Linked DNA regions of Arabidopsis thaliana. The protein of the gene in region 1 interacts with the protein of each later gene in a biochemical or structural test. Each region holds a gene or a part of one and is shown on either strand. Other genes may lie near its edges.

Evidence for each region.
Region 2: of the proteins of CPK23 (region 1) and OZS1, one has a biochemical effect on the other in vitro, tested with the Arabidopsis thaliana proteins (one study listed by BioGRID).

Annotation. Positions count from the first base shown.
Region 1 is NC_003075.7:2,402,475-2,410,735, reverse strand, and holds CPK23 (calcium-dependent protein kinase 23), read left to right. Parts: upstream 1-1,998; 5' UTR 1,999-2,242; coding exon 2,243-2,912; intron 2,913-3,804; coding exon 3,805-3,948; intron 3,949-4,033; coding exon 4,034-4,186; intron 4,187-4,273; coding exon 4,274-4,386; intron 4,387-4,550; coding exon 4,551-4,718; intron 4,719-4,806; coding exon 4,807-4,934; intron 4,935-5,058; coding exon 5,059-5,158; intron 5,159-5,243; coding exon of another isoform or gene 5,244-5,330; exon of another isoform or gene 5,331-5,601; coding exon 5,602-5,641; exon of another isoform or gene 5,642-5,767; coding exon 5,768-5,853; 3' UTR 5,854-6,110; exon of another isoform or gene 6,111-6,267; 3' UTR 6,268-6,518; exon of another isoform or gene 6,519-6,963; 3' UTR 6,964-7,592; downstream 7,593-8,261.
Region 2 is NC_003070.9:4,256,768-4,261,371, reverse strand, and holds OZS1 (C4-dicarboxylate transporter/malic acid transport protein), read left to right. Parts: upstream 1-2,071; 5' UTR 2,072-2,122; coding exon 2,123-2,629; intron 2,630-2,704; coding exon 2,705-3,516; intron 3,517-3,593; coding exon 3,594-3,945; 3' UTR 3,946-4,104; downstream 4,105-4,604. Other genes in the region: AT1G12490 (F-box associated ubiquitination effector family protein), read right to left, coding at 1-406, 435-589; AT1G12470 (zinc ion binding protein), read right to left, coding at 4,171-4,347, 4,430-4,546. UniProt on the Arabidopsis thaliana protein: Slow, weak voltage-dependent S-type anion efflux channel involved in maintenance of anion homeostasis.

The DNA.
Region 1 (8,261 bases):
AATTGCAGTTCTAGTCAAATAAAACCTTGTCTAAGAGCATCATTAAAGGGAGGATATTAGGGAGTTTTTAGGTTTATAAATCATTAAATTTATATGTTAATTGATCAATTCAGTTTAGAGGTGGTTTAAGCTAAGAGATGCTCTTAAGCAAAATGCGGTGGTGACATGGAATAATTTGGTTGGTTGGAAGAAAAATATTAAACAAAAAAACATTTTTTTGCGTTTAATTATTTTTCTCCCCTCTTTCTCTCTTTCCTCGCGATTGAAGGTAGGAAGCAGAAGATCTCCTTAAAATCGATATGGCCGTCTCGCGTTCTCCGGTCCTGTGTTTATTAGACCCGGGCGTCCTCCCGATGTTAGCTCTCATCTCAACCGACTCTGGTTGTCCACGACCAAATCGACGAGAAATCAATAGTTAAACTTTATGTTTACATGTATGTTTAAAAAATTATTATGTCATCTATTGATCAAATTTAAGTTCAAAAAAATTTAAAAATTTAAAAATTAATTTTTTAAAAAACTCCAACTTAATATACTACTATTGAGGTTGCTAAAAAATTAAAAACTTACTAAAACTCTTAACAACAAAATTTCAAAATTTATTCATTAAATATGATTAATATCCTACCATTGAGGATGATCTAATCTTTTGTACAGAAGACCGCCTAAACTCACAAAAGACGTTGCCGTTTGTATGGTATCCATTAGTTAGCACCAACCCTCTTTCTCTAACGTGAATTTTCTGGCTCAACTTCAACTACAGCCACTTCTGCCTCAACTTCAACTACGGCGACTTCAACTTCAACTACAACCACTTCTACCTCAACGTCTTCCTCTTCCTATGGGCTTCCTCTTCAACAACGTCATGTGAAACCTCAACAAAATCCTGGTTCTGCACCTCAATTAAATTATGATTCCCACCACCTCCGTTCCCCCACCACCTCCATTGATGTTGCCATCCATATAAAAAAACAAACATAACCAGGCAACCACATGCGAACATCTTGCACAACTGCTCCTTTGTTATGATGTCCCGTGTTCACTGACCAAGCATTTGCTAAACTAATCAGATGGTTCCATCTAGATGCTGATAGGCGGCACAAGACAATCAAGAACTGTTCTTGTTCTTAATCAGCCATTCTACTGAACCAAAAAGTCAAAAATCAGCATATAAAACACGGAGATAAATTGATTTAACTGAAACAAACACAAGTCCACAATCTAATTGTCATGACTGAAACAATAACCCGTTTAGTATACAACTGAGTTTTGACAATTCCCAGACGGGAAGTAAACATATAACTTCACGGCGTCGTTGATGGTTACGTAAGAGTAATGATTCAGTGCGGTGCATGTGCATGGTATGAAAGAAGAGTTATTGTGTTTTTTTTTTAGATTTTGAAAATTACCTTATTTTTAAGTTTTTATTTGAAAAATATACATTTCTCTACTTTTAATAAAGATTAAAAAATTTAATATGTAAATGACAATTTTGTCCAAATTTAAAAGAAAAGCCACATTCTTTATAAATTAAAAACAATATTCGAAATTTAATATTTTAAAGTCTATCACTTAATATTTTTCACGTTATAAAAAAGATCAATCTTTCATAGATTGTTTTTCCTTTATCTTTTTTGTTCTTGGACAATTTTGTTTTAATATTTAAAATAAAACTGTTATCTTTAAAACTGTTAGTTATCAGATATTAATTCATGAGTTTTTCTGTTTTAATTTTATATTCTTTTTTATTATTACCAAATATTAATTAGTCTATTTTAGTAATTTTATATTGGATCATTGGCATTTTGCCTAACTTGTTTTAAGTTTAATTATTTTTCTGAAACTAATATTGGACCATTGACATTTTGCCTAACTTATTTTCTTATTTTCTTTTTGTCTTCAACATAATTTTTAACCAACCAATCTAAAGAATAAAGATTATAAACTGATCTCTTTGTAAGAAATATAAAAGAGTTATCTTTCTCTTATGACATCAATAATTCTAAGGCCCAATTAAGGCCTCCAGAGCAGCCCAATCTGAGATCTCGATATATTTTTTCCGGTATATGAAAAAAAAGTCCAAAATCCAGCTCAAAATTCAAATCTTTCAAAAATTTCTTACAGTTCGAGTCAAACATATACAATAATACAAACCACAAATGTGTTCTCAATCAAATTCCTCCAAGTTTATCTTCTTCTTCAATCCAAGAAGAAAGTCTACGAAAAGTCTCCTCCTTTACTAATGGGTTGTTTCAGCAGTAAACACCGGAAAACTCAAAACGACGGCGGCGGAGAAAGATCAATTCCGATAATTCCAGTTCAAACCCATATCGTTGATCAAGTCCCCGATCATCGTAAACCTCAAATCCCATCACCATCGATACCCATCTCAGTTCGAGATCCAGAGACGATTTTAGGTAAACCATTCGAAGACATCAGGAAATTTTACAGCTTGGGGAGAGAATTAGGTCGAGGTGGTTTAGGGATTACGTATATGTGCAAAGAGATTGGGACTGGGAACATTTATGCTTGCAAATCGATTCTCAAGAGGAAGCTAATTAGTGAGCTGGGTAGAGAAGATGTGAAGACAGAGATTCAGATCATGCAGCATTTGTCTGGACAACCAAACGTTGTTGAGATCAAAGGTTCTTATGAAGACAGACATTCTGTACATTTGGTAATGGAATTATGTGCCGGTGGAGAGTTGTTTGATAGGATTATAGCTCAAGGTCATTACTCTGAGAGAGCTGCTGCTGGTACCATTAAGTCAATTGTGGATGTTGTTCAGATTTGTCATTTGAATGGTGTGATTCATCGAGATCTCAAGCCTGAGAATTTCTTGTTCTCGAGTAAGGAGGAGAATGCAATGCTTAAAGTAACCGATTTCGGGTTGTCCGCGTTCATCGAAGAAGGTTAGCTATAGAGATTGATCTTTTATAGAATCATCTTAGGTTGATTTGGTATGCTAATGGTACGAATCTATAGATTGTCTTGCACAAGTCTCTTTAGTATCTACATTCATCTTAGGAGTTCACTGAATCGTGATGTCATATACTCTAGAATAAGAATAGAATGTTATGCATAAAGGAGTCCGATTTGAAATTGATAGGTGGTCCCTCCTCAAAGCCAAAGAGATGTGTTTTGTCTTAACACAAGAACACACAAAGTACCAAAGAGATAAACTCTGTTTTGTCAATTTTCAAGTCTGATTCCTTAACTTGACATTGAAGTCTTTAAATACACAAAAATAAGAAAGAAAATAACCACTAAATCTACTACTAACATCGTGGGGAGTGGAGAATACAATCCCATTAATTTAGGAGCCATAACAAGACCACATCTCTTTTCTATGACACCGGTTTACTCTGGTTATGTGCTTATCAGAAATGTTCTGTGTTCATTGAATAAAGTGAGCTCGAGATTGATCATATTCTTAGTGTATTGATGATTGCGTTTGATAGGTTTTGGGTCCTATAGGATTGTCTAGCACAAATCTCTTTTAGTATCAAGTACTTGTTTTCGAGTAACGATGAGACTGTTATGCTCAAAGCAATTGATTTTGGGGTTTCTCTGTTCATTGAAGATTGATCATATTCTTTCACGAATCGAAAATATGCACTTTGTGCTTTAATCATGAGCTAGATTGGTGACTTATGTTCCAATGCATAGAGATGGGACTCTACTCTTTAGTAATAGAATCAGGTTTATGTTGTCTTATTATTGTACAGATTTAACTATGTTTATGTTTTCGTTTTAGTTTATTTTGATTTTTATGTTTATCTGTTTGTGAAACCAAAATTACAGGAAAAATTTACAAGGATGTGGTTGGGAGTCCTTACTACGTTGCTCCTGAAGTATTAAGGCAGAGTTACGGAAAAGAAATCGACATTTGGAGTGCAGGTGTTATTTTATACATCCTACTCTGCGGTGTACCTCCTTTTTGGGCCGGTAAAAGACCTTTAAGCTAACAAAACTTCTTGATTTTTTCTTCTTCTTCTTAAGGTTTGATCTGTAATCATATGTTATTTTGTAGACAATGAAGAAGGAGTATTCGTTGAAATTCTAAAATGCAAAATTGATTTTGTACGTGAGCCATGGCCTTCTATATCTGACAGCGCGAAAGATCTTGTTGAGAAGATGCTAACCGAAGACCCTAAGAGACGAATCACTGCTGCACAAGTTCTTGGTAAGAGAATGTGAATACCAGTCTTGAGTTTATGGTCGTTTACCGAGTAATGCTTTACTAATATGTAGCAATCCTTATGGTTTATAGAACATCCTTGGATCAAAGGGGGAGAAGCACCGGAAAAGCCTATTGATAGCACTGTGTTATCACGTATGAAGCAATTCCGAGCAATGAACAAGCTTAAGAAGCTAGCCCTAAAGGTAATCACGTAGCTCAAAATATTATGAAATTAAATCTTTCTTTATTACTAATTATGCATCTCGCTTATAGTCTTTCCATCTCTTTGTGTTCTCTAATCAGTTGAAACATCTCATATCTACTAGTGCCGGAACTTGGGGATCTAATTTGTGTGTTCTGTTTGCAGGTTAGCGCGGTGAGTCTATCCGAAGAAGAGATCAAAGGTCTTAAAACCTTGTTTGCGAATATGGATACCAATAGAAGCGGGACAATCACTTATGAACAACTCCAAACTGGGCTAAGTAGACTTAGATCTAGACTCTCTGAAACTGAAGTTCAGCAACTCGTTGAAGCGGTAAGTTATCTTCAGCATCTTGCTTTCTCTTTTCCGCAATTAAGATCTTGAAAAAGACAGTTTGAAACACATGATGATAACTTTTCAGTCTGATGTGGATGGTAATGGAACAATTGACTACTATGAGTTTATCTCTGCGACAATGCATAGATACAAATTACATCACGATGAGCACGTACACAAAGCATTCCAACACTTAGATAAAGACAAAAATGGGTAAGTTTCTTACATTTTCAGTGTACGAATCAATCATTTCTTTTTTTTTGTCAAGAGGATTAAGATTCAAATGTGTGTAACTATTATGAGGCACCAATGTTAATGCTATTTGGTAATCCAATAGGCACATAACTAGGGATGAGTTGGAAAGTGCCATGAAGGAATATGGAATGGGAGATGAAGCTAGCATCAAAGAAGTTATATCCGAAGTTGACACCGACAATGTAAGTCGCACTCTCTAACATAATCCAACATCTCAAACAGTAAACCGGTGCTTGTAATGAAACCTTGAAAGGAACTATGTTACAGGATGGAAAAATAAACTTTGAGGAATTTCGTGCGATGATGAGATGTGGCACCACACAACCAAAAGGGAAACAGTATCCATTCCACTGACCAAGACTACATAGATCCAACGGAAAGTAATTCTTAAACATGGAAAACTCAAAACGACGGTGGCAAAAGATGAATCAACCAAGCCATCAACAGATTTTCAACACCGTCTACAAACCCAATCTCAGTTCGAGATATATCAATGGGAGATATATCGAATGGTTACAAAACTGGACAAGTATGTGCACAATACAGCCTTCGAATTCAGTCCTTCTCGCAATGAAAGTCAATATCTTGGAGTAGATGATGACTGAGAATTGGTGGACATTTTTAGGCTTTATCTCCAGTGGAAATCATGAGAGAGGTTGCGTTAGGTAAAATTGATAATATGTCGAGACAGATAGCAATCATGAGACTTTGTGATCACACTGCTTAGAAAGGGGAGATAAGTGTTTTAGAGATTAGAGAAATCCAGCCGTTGTTCATCTTTGGCCTTGCAGAAATAGGAGTTCCAGTGAACACATTCAAGCAAAACAATGTTCAGGAAGATGGTTTATATCTTCCAGTGCTTAACAATGCGGCTTGATGATAAAGATTGCCGTTTATAATCTTCTTCCAGAGATTTACAGAAACCTAGACTCACCAAGAGACTCGTTGGAAGATAACAATTGATGGGTCTTGGCACTTACGGGTGCGTTCTGTGCAGCAATTAATTTGAGATAGATCTCAAGTCACGCTGGATACTTTATGGAGATTGCATATAAGATGATAGATGAATACTTTATCCGAAGCTTTTTGTGAATTTCGCATCTGATTTCTATGAAATCGATCTTCTGGAATGAGGTAAAAAAACATCTCAATCCGATCATGTGGTTTGCTAATTCTGTCGAGAGTTTCTCTTTTCCATTGGTCGAAATCGATAAGATTGAATGGTAGAATATAACATATTTGTGTGTTTTTCGATTGAATAGTCTAACAAGGATTCTTGATTTGGTTTTAGGATGATGGATTCATGAAAGTTTTCTAGGTAAGAGATTTCAATCTCTTTGCGAATTTTAAGGAGATTCAGGTAAAAGAGATTGATTTGAAATGTTGTTGCATTATTCCATGTTCTATTGACTCCAAATCGTTAGTCAATTGCCTATTGAGTTGTTTAGGGATACATTGTAGAAGAAACTAGGACACCTATGACTGGCTTTACATTTTTGGTGCTTTCCATTGTGCAGCTTGCATGGTATTAAATCCCTCAAGGTATGCATTCTTTGTACTATTCTCCAATCTCTTAAGAGAATCTTATTGATTTGATGCACTTTATGTTATATGCTTCTGATTTGCCTTTTTCCTGCGTTTGTCAAATACTCAAAATATACAGAAATGATCTGAAAAGTCAAAGGAATTTGAATTTGAGTAGTTGTTAACTTAGTAATAACTTTATCTTGCATCTACATTTTCTCAACATCCTTAGGAACCCTTTGAGCATCAAAAACTTTATTACGACTCTAATGTACTATCCTGATGGGATGAATATAGAGATAAATCTGAGATTCTGAGGATCTGAGAAACAGATGTAGACCTGAAGAAGATGACTTTGGCGATATTGTCCAACTTCTATATGTGTTTTATTCTTTCAGTTTATAGCCATCATTCCTCATATGTACTTTATTGATGCAATCTATACCTGAAATCTTCTTTTCAGTTTGACGAGCACCAGATGACCAAGATAAAAAAAATGAGCAGAGGAATTACGGGTAGAGTCAGAGAGTTGCATTAGGCAAGTGCTTACACTTTGTCTACGTTCTTGAATCAGTAAACGATCTTGCTCAAGTCATGATGGATCTTTCTGCACTTGTGATAGATCAGGTAAAACTTGTTAAAATCCATATTCTCTTTGTCTAGCTTCCGAGTCTTCTTCCTTCGGGAAAAAAAATATTATTAAAAGCAACCCATTGTGTTGTAGCTACAATAGTTGATACGAAATTTGCTAGTGAGATGTTATGAACTGGACCAAATTTCACTTAGATCATGTATGTTATTGTTTGTTGTAGTCAAGTTTACCATACATGTAAAGATAACAGTTCTGAATATTGCTTATGTGTTTTGGATATGACACCAGTAGGATTGGTCATTGAGCTATAGTGGGAATCATTTCACTAGCTCACTTATGAATCTGTAATCTGCTTTTTCCTACTTGGATCTTCTCCCTTTCGTAATTGTAATTTTAAATAGTTGTGCTTTCACTTGAAAATCTTGAGTATAATGTTTCTCTTAAAGCGTTTTTGCTCCTTTTTTTTCTTTTTTCTTTCAGGGAAACTGGGACTTCGAGCAAGTCAGCTTATAAAGACTTCGTGAAGTGGCTTTGAATACAACAGTTCCACATATCAAGGACAAAGTTATGCTTTATGTAAAATTAGTATATTCAAACAATATAAATATCATCATTTCGGTCGATTGTCTTTCTAATTTAGGTAAAAGATTTCTTTTGTTGACAGCAAATTTTATTTAGATTTGATAAAAACAAATTATATAAAAATTTAGTAGAAATGGTCTATAAAAATTTTGTGTTGCTTTTAAACCGACGTTACTTTCATAAATTCTGATATTAAGTCAGCTTATAAGACGTCATTTGACAAACCTGGCTCTCTATACTAACGTTAGTCATAAACCTTTAGTATAAATGACGTTAACCTTCCATTTCATGTTTTAAGAGGAAATTTGTTCAAAATTAGATGATATTTTTAATTTTTAATATAAATTAGGGATTAATTAGTTTTTTTATTAGTTTTGGCGATTTATATTCGGCAGATTATTTTTTATTGGTTGAATCATATTTGAATAGATAATAAATGATGTTTTACTTTACAAATAAAAAAAAATTAAATGATTTCTTAATCTGTGTGTGAAAATTATTTTTTAAATGATTTTTAATATGTGTGCATTATTAGAAGATTATTTATACATCAAACAAATTTACTAATTTACATATTTATACATCAA
Region 2 (4,604 bases), on another chromosome or scaffold:
AGTAGCGTTTTCAAGGCCAATTTCTAAAGAATTGTATAACCAAACGGGTTTGTATGTGCCCGTGATTTTGTCTTTACCGAATCCAATATCACAGACTGTGTATCCAAGCTCGAAGACACTGCGACCTAAGCTGATAAGGAGTTGTTGTAATTGAGAGAGAGGAAGAGGGCGATACCATCTAGTGGTGGGATTGACCACATAACCAGATTTCCAGTATTTGTAGAGACAAACGAGACCGTCACAGCTATCAAAAGAAACTAAGAAGAATTCTTCGTCCTCCTTCTCCTTCTCCTTCTCCTTCTCCTTGTCCTTCTCCCAAGGTGTAGGGATGGTGACCGATGATGATGAACCCAACACCAGTGTAGTTAGATGTTTTAAATCCGGGTTAAAATAATCCTCACGACTTCTGGAGACCATGAGAAGAGCTGGATCACCTGATTGCTGACGCTGTGTCAATTGTCTTTGTTGGAAGAATGGAGATTCGATCGATGATTTCCATTGTTTCGATACAGCCGTGAATCTCAGCAGAGAATCCACAGCAAGTCTTCTCTAGGATGCGCTCTACGACCTCGTGGGGCAGCGATTCCATCCTCAAGCAGCGTTGCTTTTTTGACATTCTTTTTGTGATTGTTTTGTTGAACAGGGGCTTGCTTATTTATAACCAGGAAAAGAATAATTCTTCTTTATCCTTGATTTCCTTTTCCTTAAGGAAAAAGGATCTTCCTAACCGCTTTGAACCCTATCTCTCTGTTTTTCGGTTTTCCCTTTTACTTCTAGGGTTTTCATAAAGCCTTGGAACCCAATTACGTGTTTTAAACCGACGGTCATGATCTTGTCTTCAGGATCAGATATATATTATTCGACACATCGTGGGACCCACCACTATTCTGACTGGGTCTGCCTGCTTTCCGGTTGCTTCCAATAATGTCGAACCAAAAAGCCACGAACGCTAAATAAGAATCTACTTTGCAAGTCTAAGAGATTCATGCAATAATTCTTCACTAATGTTGTGGGTTTTGAAAACATTAGGTATTGCAAGAATATAGATTTTGTAAACACACCCTAATGATCTCAAACCTTATATATATGGTTAACAATCTAATCCCATAAGTATTCCCATTTCACAACACTCATATATTGTTAGAGCTATATGAAGTAAGGTTACATTACAACTTTTTGTTTACTATAAAAACAAAAACTACAGGCTATAAATGCCAAGGTTTAGAACAACTTAGGGGCGTTACTCTTACAAAACTTGTGGCGGTATAGTGGTCATCTCTGTGGCAATCTACCTTCAATGTGTGAGGGTTCGATCTCAAGCTTAGCTTATATTTGTAATTTTTTATTAATCAACAGTCCGAATATTGTTTTAAACCTGATTCATAAACAAACATTATAAATTATAAATTATAGATTGTATCATATTATTCAAGAAGTTGTGAAAATAATCACGGCTTATGTGAGTTTGTCTTATGGTCCTATGACTCCTAATCCATGCGAGGCTATTTGATGATTTATTATATCACTTTTGTATTATTTTGAGTTCATTGATCAAAGTTTTTTGTTTGGATAAAGGGAAAACGTAAAGCATTTTGGAACGAAATTCATAGAAAAATCTCTTACAAAGAAGAAGAATATATGCCATTCATATTTCTGCACATATGTTTGGTTGCTTTAATCTTTCGACCCCTTTTTCCAAAATGTTAGTATTATATGTTAAGTTTATAAGTTTTAACCAAACAAGAGGAGCTAACAGAAATCGAATTAACGACTCAAATTATGTTTTGTATAGAAAAGAGCAAATTGACTTTGGTTGCATTTGAATCTCGTGACTAATGGAACGGCCTTTTTTTTTTTTTTTTTTTCATCGTCTCTCACCTTTTCCAAGTAGTTTGGATCGAAAAGCTTTCACGAGAAACCTAAGAAACTTTCCAGGAAAGTTTTGGTTCACATACGCATTAACTCACACCATTCACCAAGCTTTCTCGTGCCCCTTAACCACAAACTTTGCTTTTTTTAACTTAGTCCATTGCATCTTTCTATATACATTAACATGTTTCCTTTCCATACTAGAAGAAAAATATCTTCTCTTGTGTTTCAAATTATCAAATTGCTCTGATCAATGGAGAGGAAACAGTCAAATGCTCATTCCACTTTCGCCGACATCAATGAAGTTGAAGATGAAGCAGAGCAAGAACTGCAACAGCAAGAGAACAACAACAACAAGAGATTCTCTGGAAACAGAGGACCAAACCGAGGGAAACAAAGACCATTCAGAGGTTTTAGCAGACAGGTTTCGCTAGAGACAGGTTTCTCAGTGCTCAACAGAGAATCTAGAGAAAGAGATGACAAAAAGAGTTTACCGAGGAGTGGTCGTAGCTTTGGCGGGTTTGAATCAGGTGGAATCATCAACGGTGGAGATGGTCGGAAAACAGATTTTAGTATGTTTAGGACTAAATCAACGCTCAGCAAACAAAAGTCTTTATTGCCTTCTATAATAAGGGAGAGAGACATTGAGAATTCTTTAAGAACTGAAGATGGTGAGACCAAAGATGATTCTATAAATGAAAATGTTTCTGCAGGAAGATACTTTGCTGCTCTTAGAGGACCTGAATTGGATGAAGTCAAGGTAACAACTCTTCTTCTTTCTCTTTCTCTCTTCAAAACTTAATTATCAGTTAGTTCCAATTGTACTCTCTTGCAGGACAATGAAGATATTCTGCTTCCAAAAGAGGAGCAATGGCCGTTTCTCCTAAGGTTCCCAATTGGATGCTTCGGTATCTGTTTGGGACTTAGCAGTCAAGCTGTCTTGTGGCTTGCCCTAGCGAAAAGTCCTGCAACAAACTTTTTACACATCACACCATTGATTAACTTAGTTGTATGGCTATTTTCACTGGTAGTTTTAGTCTCTGTGTCCTTCACTTACATACTCAAATGCATCTTCTACTTTGAAGCTGTCAAAAGAGAGTATTTTCATCCTGTTCGAGTCAACTTCTTCTTCGCTCCTTGGGTGGTTTGCATGTTCCTAGCCATTAGCGTACCTCCCATGTTCTCACCAAACCGAAAATACCTCCATCCCGCCATTTGGTGTGTTTTCATGGGTCCTTATTTCTTCCTCGAGCTAAAGATCTACGGGCAATGGCTTTCGGGAGGGAAGAGGCGACTATGCAAAGTCGCAAACCCATCTTCTCATCTTTCTGTTGTAGGGAATTTCGTCGGGGCCATCTTAGCTTCAAAAGTTGGATGGGATGAAGTAGCTAAGTTTCTATGGGCAGTAGGTTTTGCACATTACTTGGTTGTGTTTGTAACACTTTATCAGAGACTTCCCACCAGTGAAGCTCTTCCTAAAGAGCTTCATCCTGTTTACTCTATGTTCATTGCTGCCCCATCAGCAGCAAGTATTGCTTGGAACACGATATATGGCCAATTCGACGGATGTTCAAGAACTTGCTTCTTCATTGCACTCTTCCTATACATATCCCTAGTTGCTCGGATCAATTTCTTCACTGGATTTAAGTAAGTCCATCTCGGGTTTAAATATTCTTGGTTGAAGATATATGTTGATGATACTAAGTGGCTACGGGGTTTTGCAGGTTCTCAGTGGCGTGGTGGTCATATACTTTTCCTATGACAACAGCATCCGTAGCAACAATAAAGTATGCAGAGGCAGTACCTGGTTACCCGAGCCGGGCTCTAGCACTCACTCTTTCCTTCATTTCCACAGCGATGGTCTGCGTTTTGTTTGTCTCCACGCTTCTCCACGCCTTTGTCTGGCAAACGTTGTTCCCAAACGATCTTGCAATTGCCATTACAAAGAGGAAACTTACCAGGGAGAAGAAGCCTTTTAAAAGAGCTTATGACTTGAAGCGCTGGACCAAGCAGGCTCTGGCGAAGAAAATATCTGCAGAAAAAGATTTTGAAGCAGAGGAAGAGTCGCATCACTGATGTAAAATCATGGAATACAGAAGTATCTTTTAGATCGAAATAATAGTTCAGAAAAACACTTAGATATAGAGACAAAAGTAGGTGAGATAGCATATTGTATGTATCTCCAGAAGCATGTTTAATAGTAATACTACATCAATAATACAGAACCCAAAAATCACATTCACATTTCAAAGCTAGCTGAAGAAGAGATCACACAAGAAAGAATTCACGGTTTGACATGAATCAAACAGGCAAAGAAATGGTCCTCTGGTTTGCTAAGTTGGTCTCTGATCGGAGGTCCCATGAAGTAGAATACTGTGAATCCTCAGGTTTAATAAAAGGCAGAGTGATCTCATTGATCATTAATTCTCCACAGAACGGGCATTCGCTGGCAATAGCATCATCTAGCTCTGATCGAAGCTGCCTCACCGTAAAGAAAATATGTCAGGTCACAGAAAAATGTTAAAGAAAAGATTAAAAAAGGAAAAGAAAATGTCCCTACCTTGTCTGCAGTTGTTGTGCTTGTTATGGGTTCATCAGATCGGTTACCATTTATATCCCTCCGGGTTTCGCTTCCAAGCAATGTCAGTTGCTTCTGCAGATCGAGTATATGCTCGGCCTAGACAGATTTTGGGAAAACCAATCAAAAAATGGAATCACAATAACGAACAAATATT